Linked DNA regions of Drosophila melanogaster. The protein of the gene in region 1 purifies or fractionates together with the protein of each later gene. This does not show direct contact. Each region holds a gene or a part of one and is shown in the gene's direction. Other genes may lie near its edges. The genes, in order: Tap42, Pp4-19C, mts and PpV.

Region 1 (3,512 bases):
CCTCCTGCTCGACCTGGATTTCGGCCGCCTCGGCGTTGCGCTTAACTGGCTTCTTGCGCGTCACCATTATCCGGCTAATTCAACTTTTAGTTGCGAAAAATAAGTGAGCTGTGTATATTGAATACGGTACGGCACGACCGCACGTGTTGCCGTTCGATGTTGCCAGATGTTGAAACGACATTTTCTCCAAATTTCGTCCAACAGCTCTAAATGCATGAGCTGTACTGAAAATGACAACAAAAACTCAAGCTAATGAAATAATTTTCAAAGAATAAAATAAAGAAAAAAAGAATAATAAAAAGAATATTTAAATTGCTAGTTTTGATACTTCATGAAACGCTTGCTTTATACATTTTAATACAATTTTATATATTTTTAGCCATTTATAGGTTGTTATTTTATAGCTACCAGCGCTGACTTCTTTACGGAAAGTGGCAACTCTCTTCCACAGCTGATAATTCGGTCTGCTTTTTGTAAATTTTGCTTGTCCAGCAAATTTAGTTAAATAATTCAAAGAAATCATGCCCGTGGTGAACGTGTCGGCTGCCGAGGAGTACCAGAAGTACATTAATGCGGATAAGACGACCGTAGCTCTATTCGCCGCCGAATGGGCAGAGCAATGCGGTCAGGTGAAAGACGCGCTGGAGGAGCTGGCCAAGATTACTGGCGAAAAACTGCAGTTCATCAGCCTAAACGCTGAACAATTTCCCGAGATTTCCATGAAACATCAGGTACGCTCGTATTTATTTTATGAAAATATAACAGTAGTTCCTCATTCATTTGCGATGCCACCAGATCGAGGCCGTGCCCACAGTCATATTCTTCGCCAAGGGCTCCGCCGTTGACCGTGTCGATGGTGTAGACATCGCCGCCATAAGCGCCAAATCCAAAAAGTTGGCCGAAAACGCAAGCAGCGCGGCGGCAACAGGACAAACGTTGGAGGAACGCCTAAAGGCCCTAATCAATACAGCTCCGCTGATGATATTCATGAAGGGCGACCGAAATGGACCGCGTTGCGGATTCTCCAAGCAGCTCATCGGCATTGTGAACGAAACCAAGTATGCAAATTGATCATCAGTTGTATTTGATTTCAAGTTATAAACGAAAATATCCTTCGATAGCTTGCCGTACGAGACATTTGACATCCTCGGCGACGAAGAAGTGCGTCAAGGCCTGAAAACCTACTCCGACTGGCCCACATATCCCCAGGTTTACGTCAAGGGTGAACTTATCGGCGGACTCGATATTATTAAGGAACTGCTGGCGAACAATGAGCTCGAGTCCACGCTAAAGGGCTAATTCCATCGGATTGCATCTACTCCTACAGACACCATAAACCAGAAACAAATTTTTAGCTAGATCCTTAGACTTTTTAATGGTTTAATAAAGGATTTTTGCTACATTCTGGTATTATTTTATTCATCGAAATTTTTAATAACAATTGTATTAAAGCAAATGTGCTATAGGTCATCCATAAGACATCTTACACGGGCTTCAATGGTGTCACCATAAATGTTTACAAACTTAACGACATAAATATAGCTAGAAATTTGTAAGAACTTTTTTATACACCAGCCCTGGTTTATCTGGTATTTTGCGTACCTTCATTTTGTAAACAGCTGTTTCGGCGTCGGCATCTTGCACATTATTTTCGCAATATTATTTATATTATTGAAAATACCCATTAACTATAAACTTATATCCAAATCTTTAAATGGCTGAGGGTAATACCGCTGGCGGAGAGGACCAAAAGCTGACGGACATCTTTCTAAAGGGCTGGAACATATTCGACGAGCTAGAAGTTACCGAACTGCCCTTCAATGGCAGCGAATTTCAGGTGTGTAATATTGAAGATCTTCATATATATGTAATAAAAACCAGCATTGAACGTTTACCACAACGTTTAGAACAAAGTGAAGACTGCAATGGGCCTTTTCGAGCAGGCCACCGTCATTGTGAACCAGGTTAGCATGTTCAGTGCCAACGAGTTGATCGACGAGGTGTCCACGGAATCGCTACCATTCATGCTGCTCCCTTACTTTCTGGGCAAGCTTACCACTAAGATCAACAGCCCCAATAACACACACTCCATAGAGCTGGGCGAGATTTACTTCAAGGACCACCTGCAGCGTTGCCAGGAGTATGATCTCTGTGCAGCGCCCAAATCTCAGGTGGCTAAGGCGGATAGCCAAGCGGAAAAAAGCGAGCAGCGCGAGCTGGTAGAGGCAGCCTTCAATAGAAACGACAAAATAGCCCAGTATCGCCGGATGAAGGAGATTGACGAGTATATGGCCAGAATGCGCGATGCAGTCAAGAACAAAACGGTCGACGATGAGGATAAACGTGTCTTTTTCCTCAAGTATTTGGACAAGAGTATAATAGACTCCAAGCAGGAATTAGAAACATTGGGCGTAATGAAGCAGCTGGCCCAGATGCGCCTTGCCCGATTGGCTGGTGGCGAATCCGACAACGAAGTGGATTCGTTCCGTCCACCGAATCAAAATCAATCTTCTGCATCGTCCACCTCCCGCGGTCATGGTCACAGCCACGGACCCGGACACCACCACCATCATCAGCAGGCCGCTAAGCCAAAGCCCTTGCAGCCCTTCATCATAACACGTAATGCCACCCAGAAGGCGGTTTTCGGCTTGGGATACCCCAGTTTGCCCATTATGACTGTTGATGAATTCTACCAGCAGCGCGTCGACGAGGGCATCTTTCCTGATGAGGAGAAGGTTGCCAAGATGAATCAGGCACAGGCCATCGCGGCCGCCCGGGATCCCAACGAAAAAGAGGACGAGGAGAAGGCCGTTGAGGAGCTACAGGCGGAGCAGGATGATCCCGAGTATATAGACCGCATGAGGCGCATGGATGAATACAAGGATGTGGTGCGTCGCGGTGACGGCAACCGTCATAACCGTAGTTAAGGAACTCAAAATTTATGTATTTTTTTAAAACCCAATAAAATGGTATAACCGCAAGACTGGTTTTAAGTCAGTATATTCAAAAAATAATTCTAGTTTCTAAATTTATTTATAAATCCTAGGGATGCGCTATTGATAAAATAAAAATTGTTTTCTTTTTTATTGAATTGACAATATATACAGTAAATAAATAGTTAGAATAGTTCCACTGTTGCAGTATTGGTAGGCGTTTGGCTGTAATCGCGCATTTTGCAGCACTGATTGTCACCACCAGTAACAAAAACAAAAATCTCAAGCACAAGTTAAATTTTTGTGAGTTGCTACACAAAAAACGTAAAAGAGAAGACAGTTCTCTCGAAATATTGATAGATCAACAAAGATTAAAGTGAGGTGTGTTAAAATACAGCAGATACGTGGTAGTATCAAGTGTTAACACTTTTCGTACTCTGCAGCAACCCAAAAGCAGAATGTCAGTACGAGACTTTATCAAGGGTCTGCCCATACACGATTCGAGCAATTTTACCCATTTGAGCAACGAACATGGAATTCGAACGTCGCAGAAGCGTGCCTCCGTCTACCTGCCCACCG
Region 2 (5,257 bases), on another chromosome or scaffold:
CAGTTGATTGTTATCCACTCGTTCTGGATGAAGGATTAGCAGACGCTGTCTCTGTGTTCGCCGCTCGTCGTCCTCCTCCTCGTAGAGAAGTCCTTCTGCCTCCGGTTCGTCGACGTCTTCGTTTTGCGCTCGTCTGCCGGTGAAGTCCTCTTCGCGTATATAGCGCGGGCTGTAGTTCCCTGCCTGGTAAAGACGCACTGTTTTACGCAGCTCATTCAGGGGATCCTCCTCGTCTTCGGGTGAGCCCTCCTCAACCTCCGGGTCCTCTGCGTCCTGGGTTTCCATCTCCTCTTCCTTGACTTGTGGGGCCACCTTCTCTTGCAACGTCTCATTATCGTTTTCTCGCTTGAGCAGCGACAGCTTCTCGCGCAATAAGGCTTGATGGCGATCTCGCAGTCGAGCTCTGGCCATGTGTGCCTTGAGTTGCGAGAGCAGGCTTTCCCAGTAGCTAATGTCGACGCCATCCGCTCGCCCACTGATCTTGGCCTCGATGCGGTGCCGCATCTCCTCCAGCTGCTGAGCATTCTTCCCCCTAAAAATATCGGCCACATCCTTTACCACCGCCTGGTGGATGCCATCCCGGCGTTGATTGAGCGAACTATTCTCCGCCTCCAGTTTCTGTTGGCGCTGCAGTTCATCCTGCACAATGGTGATCATATCGTTCCAGAAATCGATGTGCTTGCCCTGCTCCAGCTCTTCGTATACCTTAATGTCGACCAGCAGGTCCTCCAGTTCTTCCACGGGCAGGCCGTTTAGCAGCACATAGGGCTCGTGCATCTGCATCTCGAGGCACTCTTCGAGCGGCTCATTCCCAGCGGCCACATATTGGGCGAGAAGATCGATGGGCTTGGCACGTCCATCTCGGATCCGGATTTCACTGCGCAAGCGTGCCTGCTCTAAGTGAAACTGATCTTCCTGTCGCTGCCACTCGCGGAACTGCACCGCCTCCTTGGCGCGCTGCTGCATCATAAGATCATCCTCGCGCACCTGCCGCTCCAGCTCCCTCTCCTGACGCCGTTTCTTGACCTTCTCCAGCTCCCTGCGATTTTCCAACTGCTTTTGCAGAGACAGTACCTCTACGGTTTTGGTGGAGAGATTTGATAGTCCCTCTACCTCCAGCTTTTTGCCCCAGTGGAAGGTGGAGGTGAGATTGGAGTCCCCGAACGGGTTGTCTTCGTTGGAGTACGTCTGGTACTCGTTGTCCCAGCCCATTCGTTCGCGACGCCGCTGCTCCTTGGCCTGCTTTTCGCGCAGGCGACGGGCGCGCTTCTCCTCGGGCGTTTCATGGGCCTTCAGCTCCTCCTTTTTACGCTGACGATCCTTCTGCTCGACGAGGCGACGGGCTTCCAGCGTCTGGAGAAGCTTCATCGGGCTTTTTACCAGCGGCGAACGAGGGGCACCGGGCACCGAGCTGGACGTCGAACTCGACGGGGATGAGCTGGAGGAAGAGGACCGGCGTCTCCGGCTTTTGTGCTCCCGCTTCTTGTCCCTGCTTTTGTCCTTTTCCCTTTCCCTGCGCTGGTCACGTTCCTTGTCTCTGTGATCTCTGTGGTCACGATCCTTTTCCCGCTCGCGTTCACGATCCCGATCCCTGTTCCTGCTGCTCCTCGGATCCGGACTGCGATGATCCCGCCTCTCCCGACTGCGGCTGCGATGCCGGTGCTTGGATTTCTCCTTGGGCATCTTTTTTAATGAGTTTTTCGGGATAAAACTTGTGAAATAAAATATAAACAATGCTAGCGTTGCCAGATGGAGAAAACCAACCCAGATAGCCACTAATAATTGCAAAAGTGCTATCGATATAAGCATTATAACATTAACACATCTCCCTCTTGCCGATAAGTCGATTTATTTTTCCAAGGGTTAGTTTTTACAAACTTTAAATTTTAAAATTTCGGCTGCAGCGTATTATAAATACACAAAAATAAATAATTTATCGATGGAATCCTTGGTGCAGTGTAAAAGGCTTTTTAGGGTCTTCGTGGTAATGCCCACTATCGAAACTGAAGACTCGATGTGTCATTGCAAGTGCCATTACTCAATATATCGATACAAACGCAAGTAGCCAATCCAGCTCTTCGCAGAAACCCGGTTGGCAAAAACGTTTATGTGCATTTTTTGTATTCAATCGCCAACACGAGAGCCGAGCTACCAGCAAAAGGATTGTCCAGATAGCCCGCCACTGCGCTGAGTAAGTAGTGATTCTGGAAAAGTGTCGGGGAAGACAGGAAAAACACGGCAGACGGTGAAAATCGCGCGCGGCAAAAAGGCCAGCGACAAGCCAGACGCACACACACACGCGAGCATCCGCACAAAGCCGACGCACACAGACGCATGCAGGCGAACTCAAAAACCGAAACACAAACAAAAGGATGGTTATTAGTCGACTATTAGTTACCTTACTTCCAGTTCAGCAGCAACTGAAAATCTGAACTAATCTCTAATCCAGAAATTCTGGATTTAAAACAAATCCAACCCTATCCACTGTCAAATACACGTTTCGTATTTGAAAGAAATGTGTATGCATTCACTTAAAACACAGCCATCTAAAACAGCTAAAAGAAGTTATATCGAGAATATAGCCTCTTTTCTCGTTGGTTGGCTTTTCATTGCGAAATAGCCTCATGGACTATCTCAACAAGTGGAATAGCTGGGAACGCGAATGTGTGTGTTTATATTATTTGCCCAATCCGTAAATATAGTTGAATCGTCTTGATTCTTAGATGTGGGGGATGCAGCTATACAGATGCACTTTATGGCCTCTAAAACGCTAGACTTGCTGTGCACGACTAGAGTAGTACCCTATCCTATCACTCAAGCGACCAAAAATTTATAGTATTTCTCTTATGCAACCTTGTGGCTACCTGAAAACCACCCGCGCCAGTTTGGTGAACGACTAACAACGCTGTCCCCGCCCTGTCAACGCCTGCAGTCCGATTCACCGCTTCCCCGTCGCCTCGGCTGCCGCCATCCTCCGGGTGAAGATGTCCGACTACAGCGACCTGGACCGACAGATCGAGCAACTGAAGCGCTGCGAGATCATCAAGGAGAACGAGGTGAAGGCCCTGTGCGCCAAAGCCCGCGAGATCCTGGTGGAGGAGGGCAACGTGCAGCGTGTGGACTCGCCAGTGACCGTGTGCGGCGACATCCACGGTCAGTTCTACGACCTGAAGGAGCTGTTCAAGGTTGGCGGCGATGTGCCCGAGAAGAACTACCTGTTTATGGGCGATTTCGTGGACCGCGGCTACTATAGTGTGGAGACGTTTCTGCTGCTGTTGGCGCTGAAGGTGCGCTATCCGGACCGAATCACGCTGATCCGGGGCAACCATGAGTCGCGCCAAATCACACAGGTCTACGGCTTTTACGATGAGTGCCTGCGCAAGTACGGATCGACGGCCGTGTGGCGGTACTGCACGGAGATCTTTGACTACCTCAGCCTTTCGGCGATCATCGACGGCAAAATATTCTGCGTGCACGGCGGGCTGTCGCCGTCCATCCAGTACCTCGACCAGATTCGCAGCATCGACCGGAAGCAGGAGGTGCCGCACGACGGGCCCATGTGCGACCTGCTTTGGAGCGATCCGGAGGACCAGACTGGCTGGGGCGTGTCGCCGCGCGGCGCTGGCTATCTCTTTGGCTCGGACGTGGTCTCCCAGTTCAACCGCACGAACGATATCGACATGATTTGCCGTGCACACCAGTTGGTAATGGAGGGCTTCAAGTGGCACTTCAACGAAACCGTCCTGACCGTCTGGTCGGCACCCAATTACTGCTATCGGTGAGTCAGCCTCCTGTGCAATTTCGAACTTGTGTTGTTAACTCTGGAATCTCTCCACATGCAGCTGCGGCAATGTAGCTGCCATCCTGGAGCTGAATGAGTACCTGCACCGCGACTTCGTCATCTTTGAGGCAGCTCCGCAAGAGAGTCGCGGCATTCCCTCGAAGAAGCCTCAGGCGGACTACTTTCTCTAAGACGCTTCCGTTCCTGACAATCCGGTGGAACGGAGTCGGCACAGGATGCGGGTGCCGACTGGTAGCTTACATAAATCATCTAGGGAATAGAAATAGAAACTGCCAGCCTGCAAAAGCGAAGCGAACGCGAATAGCAACTGATGGTGTAAAACAAAAAATATGTAACATAAACGTAAGCTAGGGTAGAGCTGCCGGACACAGGTCCACGTTCAGTTAGACTTATTTGCTTTTTTGGTTCAACTAAGATATTTAAATTTTTTTTACCATCTGTTTACCTCTACCTGTGTTTAATCAGGCTATTTGCGCGATCTTTTAATGGCTGTTTTCAAAACATGTAGAGATCAGCCATGCAGATCGCGTATGACCTGTGCACCTCATCTAGCTACTAACTAATAGGTTTAATGACCATAGCCCAAGACCCTGAGAATTCGCCTTGCGTAGACGGACCGCAATCGGAGCCGCCGTCTTCTCGACACGAATTCCCTGGGCTTGGGCAGCATACTATACTAGGAGCCCAAGTTGAGCAAATAGATATTTTTACCGACAGATTGCGTTAAGTCGGCTAAGCTAGGACATATTTAGGGGAGCCGAGAGCGAACGCGCATCCCTGGCTGGGTCCCTTCTCCGCAGGATATCACCTGGAGAAACCCAGGTACGAAGAACATCGTGCATTAATAAATAGTGAGTAAGAATCTTTTAAATATGCCCCAGATTGGGAGATGATATACAAAAAAATGTACTTGTATTTATAATAATAAAGATTGTAATATAATCGTCGAAATTGAGCAAGAATTTTTTATTAGTAAATTATGGGTCCCGAGGAGTCTTGGAGGATAACCACACCCATACGAATCCCCCTTCACAATCCAACAAACAATCAAGCCTGCAGTTTCTCAGTTTATCAAGTACTTAATTCATAGTATACACATAAAAAAAAAAGATGGTTATATTCCAGAAGGGCGCTTGTGATACAGTAACGGGGGGTCGTCATGGGTCTCAAATCTGTTCTCAGTGCTCCTCCAGCTCGAGTCCATGCTCCTTCATTTGCTCGTAAATGCATTCCTCGTAGGCGAAGGCAGCGTCGCAACTGAAAATGGCAGCATGATTATAGTCCGGATTTGAGCCAACAGCTTCCGGCGAGCACTACTCACTGATCCTCGGGTGTCTCGATGGCCTCGCACTTGGCCACCACCTCGGCGGGAGCGTCTTCCTTCTCTGCATCGTGCTTGCTCATGACCTTGACCAACTCGATGGCGTGTTCCTTGTTCAGCTTACCGGATTCATC
Region 3 (7,963 bases), 5.5 Mb from region 1:
GAAACAGACACCTGCCAGACGCGGATGGTGTTGTCGGAGTAGCCGGCGAACAGAGTCTGGCCGTCGGTGGACCAGGCCAGGGACAGGCACTGGGGCTGATCGGCCTTCGACGTGGGCGAAACGACCTCGGGGCGCAGCTCCTCAACGGTCTTCTTGCATGCCAGATCCCAGATCTTGATCGAGGGTCCGTAGGCCACGCACAGCCAGTAGCGGTTGGGCGAGAAGCACAGGGCGTTGATGATGTCGTTGTGCTCCAGAGTGTACAGGTTCTTGCCGTCATTGAGGTCCCACAGCAGGGCCTTGGAGTCCTTGCCACCTGAGGTGCACAGGGAGCCATCGGGCGAGACGGTCACCGTGTTCAGGTAGCCGTTGTGGCCGTGGTGGTTGTTCTTCAACTTGCAGTTAGCCAAGTTCCAGACCTTGACGGTGCGATCCCAGCCGCAGGACACGATGATCGGGTTGGAGTGGTTGGGCGAGAAGCGCACGCACGACACCCAGTCGGTGTGGCCATCCTCCTGGATGGTGAACTTGCACTCAGCCAGGGTGTTCCACAGCTTGATGGTCTTGTCCCGAGAGCCGGACACGATCTGACGGTTATCGGCCGAGAAGGCAACCGACAAAACGTCCTAGAAAGCGAACAAGCATTTGACGATTAGCTAATGGTATTGGTATGGTTTTCATAAAAATAATATATTTACTGGATATTTCACTGACCAACTGAATGGGCATAGTCCCAACTCAATTAGTCAGTGAACGGAATCCAGATGGGTTTCTTGCAACTAATTAGGAATCAATGGGTATCAGAGATTGTTTGCCTACTTACGATGGAGCTTCAAGCAATTTATAGCCGAGACTCGAGCGAAGGGTGAAGCGTACGTCGTACAGATGTCAACCAGTAATTCTGCCTCGCATAGGCGCAATATATATTTTTTCGATTTGTACGCGGCAAAGGCGGGCCTAACCTCACTCCTAACCTTACATTTAGCCTTTTGCCGGTACAGATCGGTTCAAAATCTCAGTTCCCTAAACGAACTAAATGCAATTGGAATCTTATCCCACCTTAGTGTGTCCCTCGAAGCGACGGGTGGTCTTGCCGGCGGCCAAATCCCACAGGCGAAGGGTCTGATCCCAGGATCCGGACAGGGCGTAGTTGCCATCGGAGGAGAGCACCACGTCGCTGATGAAGTGCGAGTGTCCGTAGAGACGCTTCTGGGGGTAGCCGTAGTTGGTGTCCTCGTCGCGGGTCAGCTTCCACACGATCAGGGTCTTGTCTGCGAATCGAGATGGTGGCCATTAATATACGCACGTGCTACCAGATAAATCCGAAGAATTTCAATGGCGATTACTTACCACGGGAGGCCGAAATTATGGTGTCGGGATCCTTGGGGTTGGTGGCGATCTGGGTGACCCATCCATTGTGGCCAATGAGGGTACCGCGCAATTGCAGGGTCTCGGACATCTTGAGTTTATATTATTTGCTACGGAGCGCGAAGGAAACACGTCCAAAGGCGCTGCAAGCTGGCAGAAAAAGAGGCAGTTCCGGTTCCAGTGCTCGCTAAGATGCCAACTGTCAGCGAGCGTTCAGTGTTGGACAGGACAAAACTATCGATAGTTTGAATTTTCTGTTACAAATAATACGTGTAAAATGTAACGTCAAATAATAATATCAAAAACTTTAAAATATATATAAAAAAAATAAATACTTTTACACCAAGTATTAATATTATTATATCTAAAGAACCCCAGAAATATTGAAGTTTAGTTTTAAAACAAATTGTGCTATTATTTAAGAAATAATCGACGCTAATGCACATCTATGAAAAGACTACTAAAGGATTTTAAAACAATCCCAATATCTTGTTGCCCAAATGCCTATGTACATACTTTTATTTTGTCACTATCACGTAATAATGTAAAAAAAACGGTGAGCGTTGATCCCACTTTATTTTCTAGTTTTACTTGGTAACTGTTGGCCAAATAGTAAGGATACCATCCACAAGTTTTAGTCGGTATTTTTGTAGAAATGTCAAGCATGCATCGCTAATCGATACACACACACACAGCGCGTTCTTAAGCGTTTCGCGGCAATCGGTCACACCGAGGGCAGTCTTTCCCTTCGTATATCGTGTCGTCGTCTCTTTTGTGAACAAAAAATACGAAGAAAATCGCCCAAATCGAGTTGATTCGATTGGCAATTGTGTGGAGATAAACGAGTGAATACGCGGTTGGCAATCGAACGCAACAGTAGTTGCTAATTTTCCTGCACCCCTGAGTTATAATAAAAGCCGTCAAAATTGAATCGACAAAGATTGACGAGACTTTTTCTTCCACCACAACTGCGATGGAGGATAAAGCAACAACAAAAGATCTTGATCAATGGATTGAGCAGTTGAACGAATGCAATCAGTTGACAGAGACACAAGTTCGCACCCTCTGCGACAAGGTAAGGCCCGGTCCTTGCCCATTTTCCCCATGCGAATTAGGAGATGTTATAAAAATAATTTTCGTCATTGCATGCGAGCGAGCGATTTTTTTTTGCAAATGGTGCTCCAACGCTGCGTGTCTCTGGCCCTCTCGCTCTTTCCAATGGGGAGAGGCGCTGAGCGGAGAGCGCGAGAGCATGATTCATGTCGTGCCCTCTTGCTCGCACAGTAGCGGCGGCTTGCGTCGCCATATTGGAATATTGGTAAATTCCAACAGCCAAGCGCCGCATTGCCGCGCACAAGTGCGAGCGGGACAACGGGACGGGCAAGTGCGTGCGTGAATGCGACAGCTAGAACAGCGCTTTGGTCTAATGGGCTAAACCTGGGCAAAAAGAGATATTTCTTTTTGTATTATTGTACAATTTGATTGTTTAACTAAAGTGCATTGTGCGTGTTTAATGTTGTTGTTATTGTGTCCACCGGAAACTGAGCACCCCCGCTCCGTGCAACCTCATGCGCGTTTTGTCGTTGCTGAGTAAATATTACTTAATGTTTTTGTGCGTCGGTGTGTGCGCGCCCCTAGAATATGTATCTATGTACCGTCGTATCTCAATTCTAGAATAATGCACTTGCATTGGTGTTTGTGTTCCTTTTTTTATGACCAACCATGTTCAATTAAACACTTTTGATATCAATTGTTTTTAATTTGCCGATTTTACCGTTCATCAGGCGCGTCGCGCACACAAACAAACAGACAAGCAAAAAGAGTGCAAGAGAGGGAGAGAAAAAGAGAGGGTGAACAGATAACGATTCATTGATTTAGGAGTAAGTGGGGTTATGTTTGCGTCACCCAAATATTTGTCAGTGTTCCCATTAGAATCTTGAATCTCCGTTCTCCCTCCGAGAAGAACGTTCTTCGCTCTTCTCGGGTGCGTCTTCTGCGGCCTCTCTCCATCCTTCCCGTTGCTACGAAAAGAAAAGCGGAGAGTACGCGGAGAGAGCACAAGCTGCATCAGTGTTTGTGCATGCATCTGTATGGGTGCGCTGGCCTCGTCATGAGTTCAAAAATTATTTTTCTTTTTTTTTTTTTTTCGATTTCTGGCCAAGCGGAAGCAACAGCCTCCAAGGTAATGCTGTGCATATGGCAAAAAATCTAATTGGCTCACGCACAAATCGCTCATTTGCGCCGCCGGATTCTACCCCCGGAACTTGTTGTCATGTCCCATTTCGTCAGCTGATAAATATAAGAATTCGCAAAGAACACGGCGGAATGGTCAAAATAAATGTGCAATTTTTGTTTGCTCATTTTGGCACATTTATGTTTGTAAAAACCGGTTTTTTTGATGCTGTATATTGACGCCCATCGGGAATTTTTGAATCGACCTTCATATTTTATTTTACTAAAGACGATAGAATACTTTCCAGAATCGTGAATTTGTTATGTTTATACGGACAACTTTTTATCGTACGTTCATCTTATCTCAACTTATTAAAAAGCTTTGCTTCCTTTGTTTTGATTTTCATACAGCTTATATTAGCAACTTAAACTTGTTTGCAACTGACGCAAAATTCGATGAGAAAATAGTTGAGGTTCTTCGCTTGTTGACCAAATCTTGACGGATAACCTTGGCCTTTGACAAGGTTTTATCATCCGCACATGCGGATCACTTTCGGTTTTCTCAGTACTTTCTGTTTCGCAGATATTCTGTCATGTCATTCACCATTCACCGAATTATGGCAGGTGAAAAAATAGAACATCAAAGTTTCCATATTACTTTCATTTGGTTAACTATTTACACACAAACGTAACAAAAATGTTTTGTAATTTCCGGAAATTTTGCTACATGTTTATGTTTTTCTTATAGGAAGTAGCAATGTTTAGGTACACAGTTTTATAGGGTTTTGCGGGAAGCTATTTTCAGAATTACCCAAGAGATTGAGTTTTGATGCCATTAAAATTTCTTGTGGGATGTTTAAAGAGAACAAGTGATATTTATTTCCCTCGATTCTCTGTAAAAAAACGCATGCACTTATCCAATATATTTGTTTTAATTTCTCTTCTAGTTACAAGCTATTTTTAGAGTACACTTTGAGTGTTGGCGTTGAGTCATTAAGTATAGTGAATAATGTACAAAGTACTAATCGTTTTATTTATCTTTTCTGACCCTGGAAACGATTTGGGCTAGATTATGTTAATCAGTATTTTAATATTGGTATTCAAAGTTGTTTATTCGGTTATTCGAATAGGGAGGTAACATTAAAACGTATCTCCCTAAAAATATCCATAAATAAATTGCTGATTGGTCTACTGTTTCCATTTCTTTACAGGCCAAGGAGATTCTCTCCAAGGAGTCCAATGTGCAGGAGGTAAAATGCCCGGTGACAGTGTGCGGAGATGTCCACGGTCAGTTTCACGACCTCATGGAGCTCTTCCGGATAGGCGGCAAGTCTCCGGACACCAACTACCTGTTCATGGGCGACTACGTGGACCGTGGATACTACTCCGTGGAGACCGTGACCCTTCTGGTGGCCCTGAAGGTTCGCTATCGCGAGCGCATCACCATCCTGCGCGGTAACCACGAGTCGCGCCAGATCACACAGGTGTACGGCTTCTACGACGAGTGCCTGCGCAAGTATGGCAATGCCAACGTTTGGAAGTACTTCACGGATCTGTTCGACTACTTGCCACTGACGGCACTCGTCGACGGGCAGATCTTCTGCCTGCACGGAGGCCTCAGTCCCTCGATCGACAGTCTGGATCACATTCGGGCCCTCGATCGCTTGCAGGAGGTTCCGCACGAGGGTCCCATGTGCGATCTGCTCTGGTCCGATCCCGATGACAGGGGTGGCTGGGGAATCTCGCCTCGTGGCGCCGGTTACACCTTTGGCCAGGTGAGTGTTGTCTGCATGTTGGCTATTTCTCAATAAAATTCGGAGCTGATTTGCCTAGCTTGGATACTTGGAAATTTATTCTTTAATCACATTGTAAAATTGTTAAGTGAAATACATCTGAAGACCCGATTAAAACTAAGCTGAACAAAAATTGTCTGCTCAAAAGCATGCAAATATATTCTAGATAAATTTTTTATTGATCTTAATAGGAAATTTTATCGGGGCATGCACTTGATGAAAATCAATAATCAGTAATCGAAGTCTACTGCTGATATAGGCCCAACTGATAACGCAATCAATGGAAAGAGCTTTCGTTATAAATTGTTTTGACATTTCAAACCGTCAACTACAAAACAAATTTTAACTATCCAAATCGAATTTCATTGAGAAAGAGCCAATTACTTCTATAAGCATTTTTACTAATATTTCCATTTTATTTGAAGGATATTTCGGAAACCTTTAACAACACAAACGGCCTGACACTGGTGTCGCGCGCCCATCAGCTGGTGATGGAGGGCTACAACTGGTGTCACGATCGCAATGTGGTCACAATATTCTCAGCGCCAAACTATTGCTACCGCTGTGGCAACCAAGCGGCTCTTATGGAACTGGATGATTCACTTAAATTTTCATTGTGAGTGGCAATTCGCTTGAGCTGCCTTTAAATGCGGCATGTCTGACTAATCTAATCGTTTGCATTTATTTTAGCCTACAATTTGATCCAGCACCCAGGCGCGGGGAGCCTCATGTTACGCGAAGAACACCCGATTATTTCCTTTAAGCTGGATTGCTCGCACCTACGCAGCTTACATTTACACATATTACATCGCATTATAACAACAAGAAGAACCGAAACAATATATAATATATACAAATCCAACCAGCAGCAACAAAATAAACAAAATGGCAAGTGCTGTCGAAAAAAAAACTACCATAAAAAACAACCCAAAACTAAAAACCTCGATGCATTTGTTTTGTGGAGGTCGTTTTAAACAGAGAGCAGTGGAAGAGATATTGTATAAACAAAGAAAAAAAAAGTAACCATAACAGTCGAGAACACAAAAATGCATTGAACAGTTATTGTTGTTGGCCACAGTTTAAAAGAAAAGGAAAAAACCGGAAATGTCGCCAGCGGGGGCGGCAGGCAGAAAATTTATATCAAAGATAAAGGGGAGGAGCAGAAGGAGAAGCAGTATACAGAAATGATACAATCCAATCGAACCTACCAACCAACCCAGAAACCAAGCAACAAAACCGCAAGCAACAAGAAGAACTACAACTACTTAGCTAAATTTGTTAATTTATAAAAATAACGAACTAAGCGTCGCAGCAGAAAGCCAGGGAGCAGGAGTGATGGATGGATGGACTCATGGATTATGACGTGATGTGTGTGTGGGCGGAAGGGGCTGACAAAGGACTAAACGGGACGAAAGGACGAACGCCAGGACGTAGCAGCATAAGCAAGCAGCAGCGGTAGCAGCAGCAGAAGCAGAAGCAGACGACCCACGACCGACAAAGCAGGAAGATAACGATGAAGCAGCAGCAAAAAAGTAGGAGCAGTATGTGGCAGGAGCAGCAGCGAACGCCATTGCGATGGGGGAAGCGCGGGGCGGGCCAGCGATTTATATAAAAACAAAAATTATAAAAAAGAAAATAAGGAAATACAACAAATTTAATATTACTGATTAAAATTAAATAAAAAAAAGCGAATAAAACTATTAAAAAACAAACAAAAAAGCAAAGAAAAATGATTAAAAAAAATTCATTATCAATTAAGTTCATATGTAACTTTAATAATAATAAAAGAAAGAAAAAAAAAACAAACAAACAATTCCCACCTGCCGACGAAGAGAGCCATCGAAGAGCGCGCGTTCAAGGGAGAAAGTCCTTTAAGAGAGACCCATGCGAACGATTTTGGTTTTTCGTTCTGGCAATGACGCTCCCTTTTGGCCTGCGGGCTCCTTTGGTAGTGTGTATGCGAACATGGCCAAGTTAACACGAGGCCACCACGACGAGCGGAAGTCGAGCCTCAAACGGGCCACCTAATTGAGACCACAAAGGAGGCGATATGGGTGTGGGGGAGGTGATATATGGATGGATGGCAGAGGGCAGATAGAAGGGACGGAGGTCGTGGTGCCAGCCAACCAATGATGCCCAAGTCAAAATCTAAATCAGAGCCGGGCTGCCTTTGATTCCCAGCGAAAGCGAAAGCAAAAATCTTGCCAACTTTGTATAAATTTTTGCATATTTTAGCAGCCGCCCACACGAACTGTCAAAAGTCATGTACAGTGGTCGCTCTCTATTGTTTCTGTTTACAAAGTATTTTGGAAACTATTTCGATTGGATTTGATGTTCCTGATAATTTAGTTGGTTATTTAACTTTAGCATACGAATGAAAAGTATATTAAGAGCAAGAAAGTAAACGATATATAAATAATAAACATTTGGCAATAGTAGAAACCCTAGAATATATGGATTATTCTGAGATAAGCAGTTCGTGCACCGCCAGTTGGCACTGTATCCACATGAGTTTTGGTCTGGATGAAAATCTAAATTTGAGAACATGCTGGATCGAGGATGGGGACTCTCAAGTGCCCAAGAACTTGGCGAGCAAACAACCATACCCATACGTACACCTACCGAGACTT
Region 4 (4,085 bases), on another chromosome or scaffold:
GCTTGCTCTCAATGTTTTTTTTTTTTTCCGCTGACTGCACACAGCAGGAAAATATTGAAAATACCATTCAAATAGCCGAAGGTGTAATAATCTTTTTGCGTTTAATTGAGAATACAAAAAAAAAAACTCTGTGAGCCGAGGAATTTGTTAAAATATGAAGTCCAAGACTTTTTTTTTTTTAACCGATTGTTCGAAACTCTAGAATTTTTGGCACCGTGTTTGCAGCAAGATAAAGCCAAGAGGCTGTCCGCTGTCCGTTGTCCTTGTTCCGCCGTCCGTGTCCTTTGCGTCCGTGCAGGGGGCACATAATTATCAGCCACATCAGCCGCAGACGACAGGACTTTGACTTTTAGAGGGCGAGCGGAATTGGCGAAACGTAACGAAACGAAGTAAGAAAACAAGTTTAACTTAATTGTCAACATTGTGCCAGGCGGACACAAACAGCGACATACAGAGCGGCAAGGACAATGGAAGGATGCGAGCGGATTGGGGCCAGCATTGGGGGGGCAGGATGGCTGGATGGCTGAATGGAAAGCACTGGCAAGATGGCCAAAAGAGCACAAAAAGCAGCTGGGAGAACAAGCCCAAGTTGAATACCAAAACGGAAGGGCATAAAGTAACGCCACTAATGATGGAGCACGACATCTTCGCCGGGGGGAGAAAGAGAGAGTAAGAGAGTGAGAGTGATAGAGAGGAACGGAGAGTAGGTGGCAGAAAGAGATGGGTGGCGAGCACAACAGTTTCGATTTGCAAAACTAAAAGATATTGCATTTAATTCGATTCCACAATTAAATGCGAATACAAACAATTAATTCAATTATTTTCTATGAATATATGCTTAGCATCCTAACTTTGAATAAATTGCATATATTTTGTGCTTCGAAACCCGTGAAACGTTCATTTTTTTTTTTTTTTTTACCAATTTCCCTTGATTCGCGAATTGTCACCTTTATGGCACGTTTATTTTCCCAACTTCAGATCCAGCGAATGCGAAAAGTAAATGAAAGAAGCCAACACAATCAAATGGCAGCGTGCTAATGAGACTCTAAACAAGCTGCAGGGCCATTAACCCATGTGCCACCCCGTGCCGAAAAACGCATGCCAGCACGCTTCTCATAACCCTTAACACTTGCTGCCCGGAAAAATGAGCGGAGCTGCAAAACAAACAGCGAACAAGTAGCGTGGCGTGCGATGGCAATAAAATCTAAGAGCGTGATTATTTTCAACAAGCCAAAGAAAATATATATGTATATATATGTAAATGGGTTTGGGTTAAAAAATAAACGGATTTAAAAAGCTTTCATTGCGGACTAATTATGATTTGTGGCGGCTAAAGGCTAATTGCAACTAATTTCGCTTGCCTCCACAAAACCAAAGAAAACAATACAGAAAAACACAAAATCGACCGCCAAAGTAATTAAATATTTTGAATTTGAATTCAAATGTGTTAGCTATCGATAACATGTGACATTCTCGCTACGCAGTGTGTACACACCAAGTATACAGTTCTAATAAGAACGTCCCATGCGACTGGTGCTTGCATCGGCTAAACAAAAAATTGATGCACCATTTATCGATGGAAAACAAAAGCAAATAAAATACTCAACAATAGTATTTAAAATAAAAAGAATAGAAGAAACTTTAGATCAATTTTTTAGTACTCTAACCGTGGGCAGCAGTATAACCGTTGCTCGATAACCATTGAACACCAGCCAGTGTGACCGTAGGTGCGCAGATGGACGTGCAACCAATACTTATTTATTAACTTGTTTTAAGGCGATTTACCGTGGATTTCACAGGCAGCGGGCATCATGGGCGACGTGGACAAGTGGATAGAAGACGTGAAGAAATGCAAGTACCTGCCGGAGAACGAGCTGAAGAAGCTATGCGAGATGGTCTGCGATATCCTCCTGGAGGAGACGAACATCCTGCCCGTGAGCACGCCCGTCACCGTTTGCGGTGACATCCATGGCCAGGTAAGCGGTCATCTCCTCCGTCTTCGTCTCCTACGTCATTGCAATGTCCACTAACGCAATGCCATCGCACTCCACCCCCAAATTGCAGTTCTACGACCTGGAGCAGCTGTTCCGCACTGGAGGCCAGGTGCCGCATACCAACTACATATTCATGGGCGACTTCGTGGACAGGGGCTACTACTCGCTGGAGACATTCACCAGACTGCTCACGCTGAAGGCGCGCTATCCCAGCCGGATCACCCTGCTGCGCGGCAACCACGAAACGCGGCAGATCACCAAGGTGTACGGATTCTTTGACGAGTGCTTCAGCAAGTACGGCAATGCCAATGGCTGGAAATACTGCTGCAAGGTCTTCGATTTGCTTACCATCGCTGCCGTGAGTTGAACTATGGGATACTTCATGTGGACAACACCCTTTTAATCATTTACATATATGTTTACCCCACTGCCCCTAATGTACACAGATCATCGACGAGGAGGTGTTGTGCGTGCACGGTGGCCTGAGTCCCGAGATCATTACACTGGACCAGATCAGGACGATCGATCGCAACGGCGAGATACCGTACAAGGGTGCCTTCTGCGATCTGGTGTGGTCCGATCCCGAGGACATGGAGTACTGGGGCCAGAGTCCGCGCGGCGCTGGCTGGCTGTTTGGCCACAATGTGACCAAGGACTTTATGGCGATCAATAATCTGAACCTCATATGCCGAGCACATCAGCTGGTCAACGAGGGCATCAAGTATATGTTTGATGGCAAACTGGTGACCGTGTGGTCGGCGCCAAACTATTGCTATCGCTGCGGCAACGTTGCCGCCATTCTTAGCTTCGAAACGGCGGAGAAGCGGCAGACGAAGATCTTCCTGGCTGTTCCGGATGCGGAGCGTGTGATACCCAAGCAGAACACAACGCCCTACTTCCTGTAAAACGTTCTGATGTGATGCGATGTGAAGTGATGCAACGCAATACTATACCACATACCATACCACATACCGATCCAATACGATCCGCCCACTGTTCCGGCATCGTGGCTAATAATCATATACGCTTGTGGAGAGCAGAGCGGAGTGCAGCCTTCGACTGACTGATCCGTTTCATTTGACCACCCATGAACTCAACGCCTTAAACTCAAAACGTGCGCAACGAGCACCCCAAGCATAGCAAACACTCAGAACAGCAAACACAAGCCACACACACCACACACACACCTGTAACTTGTAATTTTCGTCTCTTTTTTTGTATGGCAAAAACACATATCTAATTCTTAAGAGCACAGTTAAAAAAAAACTTTGTTATTAGTTTCCGGCAAGTCCAAAGAGAGGGGAACACGTGAATTGATTTCTTTAAGTTGTATATCCAAGTATTGTATTTACTGATAACGGATGCTAATGGAAGCAAGAAGTATATAGAGATTCACTTTGTTATTTTGTATTCCAAACCTACATATTTATTTCTGTGAACAAACACAAAAATCATATACTTTGTACATTTTGTATTAGTAATGCTTTGAAGGAAATAAGAATAACTAAGAATAACCCAATTGTGTGATCCCGATCAAAACGATATGATTAAAACAAAAAAGACAATTCGAAATGCGTTGTCCGGTAATCAGTGGGAAAAACCAGGTGTCCCTTATTCCGCTCCCAAAATGTCCATCATCCGTCTCTGTCGTTTTCGCGACACGGCTCCGATATTCAAAGTTCCACTGAAATAATTTCGATTATGAGTTTCTTACATAAATATCATTTATTTCGTTTCGTTTTCGTTCATGAATCATTCTCATTCTCATGCTTTGCAACATCTCAACAATTGTGTTTTCATATATATTGGTTTGCTTTGCCCCAACATTTATTCTAGCGTCCCAACTCAAAAACAAATATGTATAAGTACTAGACTTTCTATTAGGGGCGAAAAAGAGGTAAATAAGTGAGTGACTTTCGCATTCTGGGGTCGGTCATCATCATGTGGCATTCATAATTCCTCGCAACTTGCTTTTCCATGGCACCTGGCCATGCTCACAGTGTTTTGGATACTTCTCTATTTGTATATATATATACGCGTGCGTTTCCGGGTCAACAATTACAAAAAAAAGAAAACTAAATAATCACACTA

What was found.
Region 2: the proteins of Tap42 (region 1) and Pp4-19C purify together in Drosophila melanogaster (affinity purification with western blotting; 2 studies listed by BioGRID, with this or other methods). This does not show direct contact.
Region 3: the proteins of Tap42 (region 1) and mts purify together in Drosophila melanogaster (affinity purification with western blotting; 3 studies listed by BioGRID, with this or other methods). This does not show direct contact.
Region 4: the proteins of Tap42 (region 1) and PpV purify together in Drosophila melanogaster (affinity purification with western blotting, with the first as the bait; one study listed by BioGRID). This does not show direct contact.

Annotation. Positions count from the first base shown.
Region 1 is NT_033779.5:13,366,010-13,369,521, forward strand, and holds Tap42 (Two A-associated protein of 42kDa), read left to right. Parts: upstream 1-1,607; 5' UTR 1,608-1,714; coding exon 1,715-1,837; intron 1,838-1,907; coding exon 1,908-2,927; 3' UTR 2,928-3,012; downstream 3,013-3,512. Other genes in the region: Nnp-1, read right to left, coding at 1-67; Grx3 (glutaredoxin 3), read left to right, coding at 522-731, 796-1,058, 1,122-1,299; CG31855 (uncharacterized protein), read left to right, coding at 3,392-3,512.
Region 2 is NC_004354.4:20,420,580-20,425,836, reverse strand, and holds Pp4-19C (protein phosphatase 19C), read left to right. Parts: upstream 1-1,834; 5' UTR 1,835-2,191; intron 2,192-2,830; exon of another isoform or gene 2,831-2,884; 5' UTR 2,885-2,984; coding exon 2,985-3,778; intron 3,779-3,842; coding exon 3,843-3,972; 3' UTR 3,973-4,750; downstream 4,751-5,257. Other genes in the region: cactin, read right to left, coding at 1-1,683; Obp19d (Odorant-binding protein 19d), read right to left, coding at 4,981-5,059, 5,124-5,257. UniProt on the Drosophila melanogaster protein: Protein phosphatase that regulates many processes such as microtubule organization at centrosomes. The probable PP4 complex Pp4-19C-PPP4R2r-flfl (PPP4C-PPP4R2-PPP4R3) is required to prevent caspase-induced cell death (in vitro).
Region 3 is NT_033779.5:7,825,711-7,833,673, forward strand, and holds mts (microtubule star), read left to right. Parts: upstream 1-1,939; 5' UTR 1,940-2,341; coding exon 2,342-2,443; intron 2,444-4,751; coding exon 4,752-5,315; intron 5,316-5,758; coding exon 5,759-5,949; intron 5,950-6,023; coding exon 6,024-6,096; 3' UTR 6,097-7,866; downstream 7,867-7,963. Other genes in the region: Rack1 (receptor of activated protein kinase C 1), read right to left, coding at 1-626, 1,060-1,271, 1,351-1,459.
Region 4 is NC_004354.4:6,370,543-6,374,627, reverse strand, and holds PpV (protein phosphatase V), read left to right. Parts: upstream 1-1,712; 5' UTR 1,713-1,811; coding exon 1,812-1,976; intron 1,977-2,064; coding exon 2,065-2,352; intron 2,353-2,440; coding exon 2,441-2,899; 3' UTR 2,900-3,563; downstream 3,564-4,085. UniProt on the Drosophila melanogaster protein: May be involved in controlling cellularization or in regulating transcription of the genes involved in this process.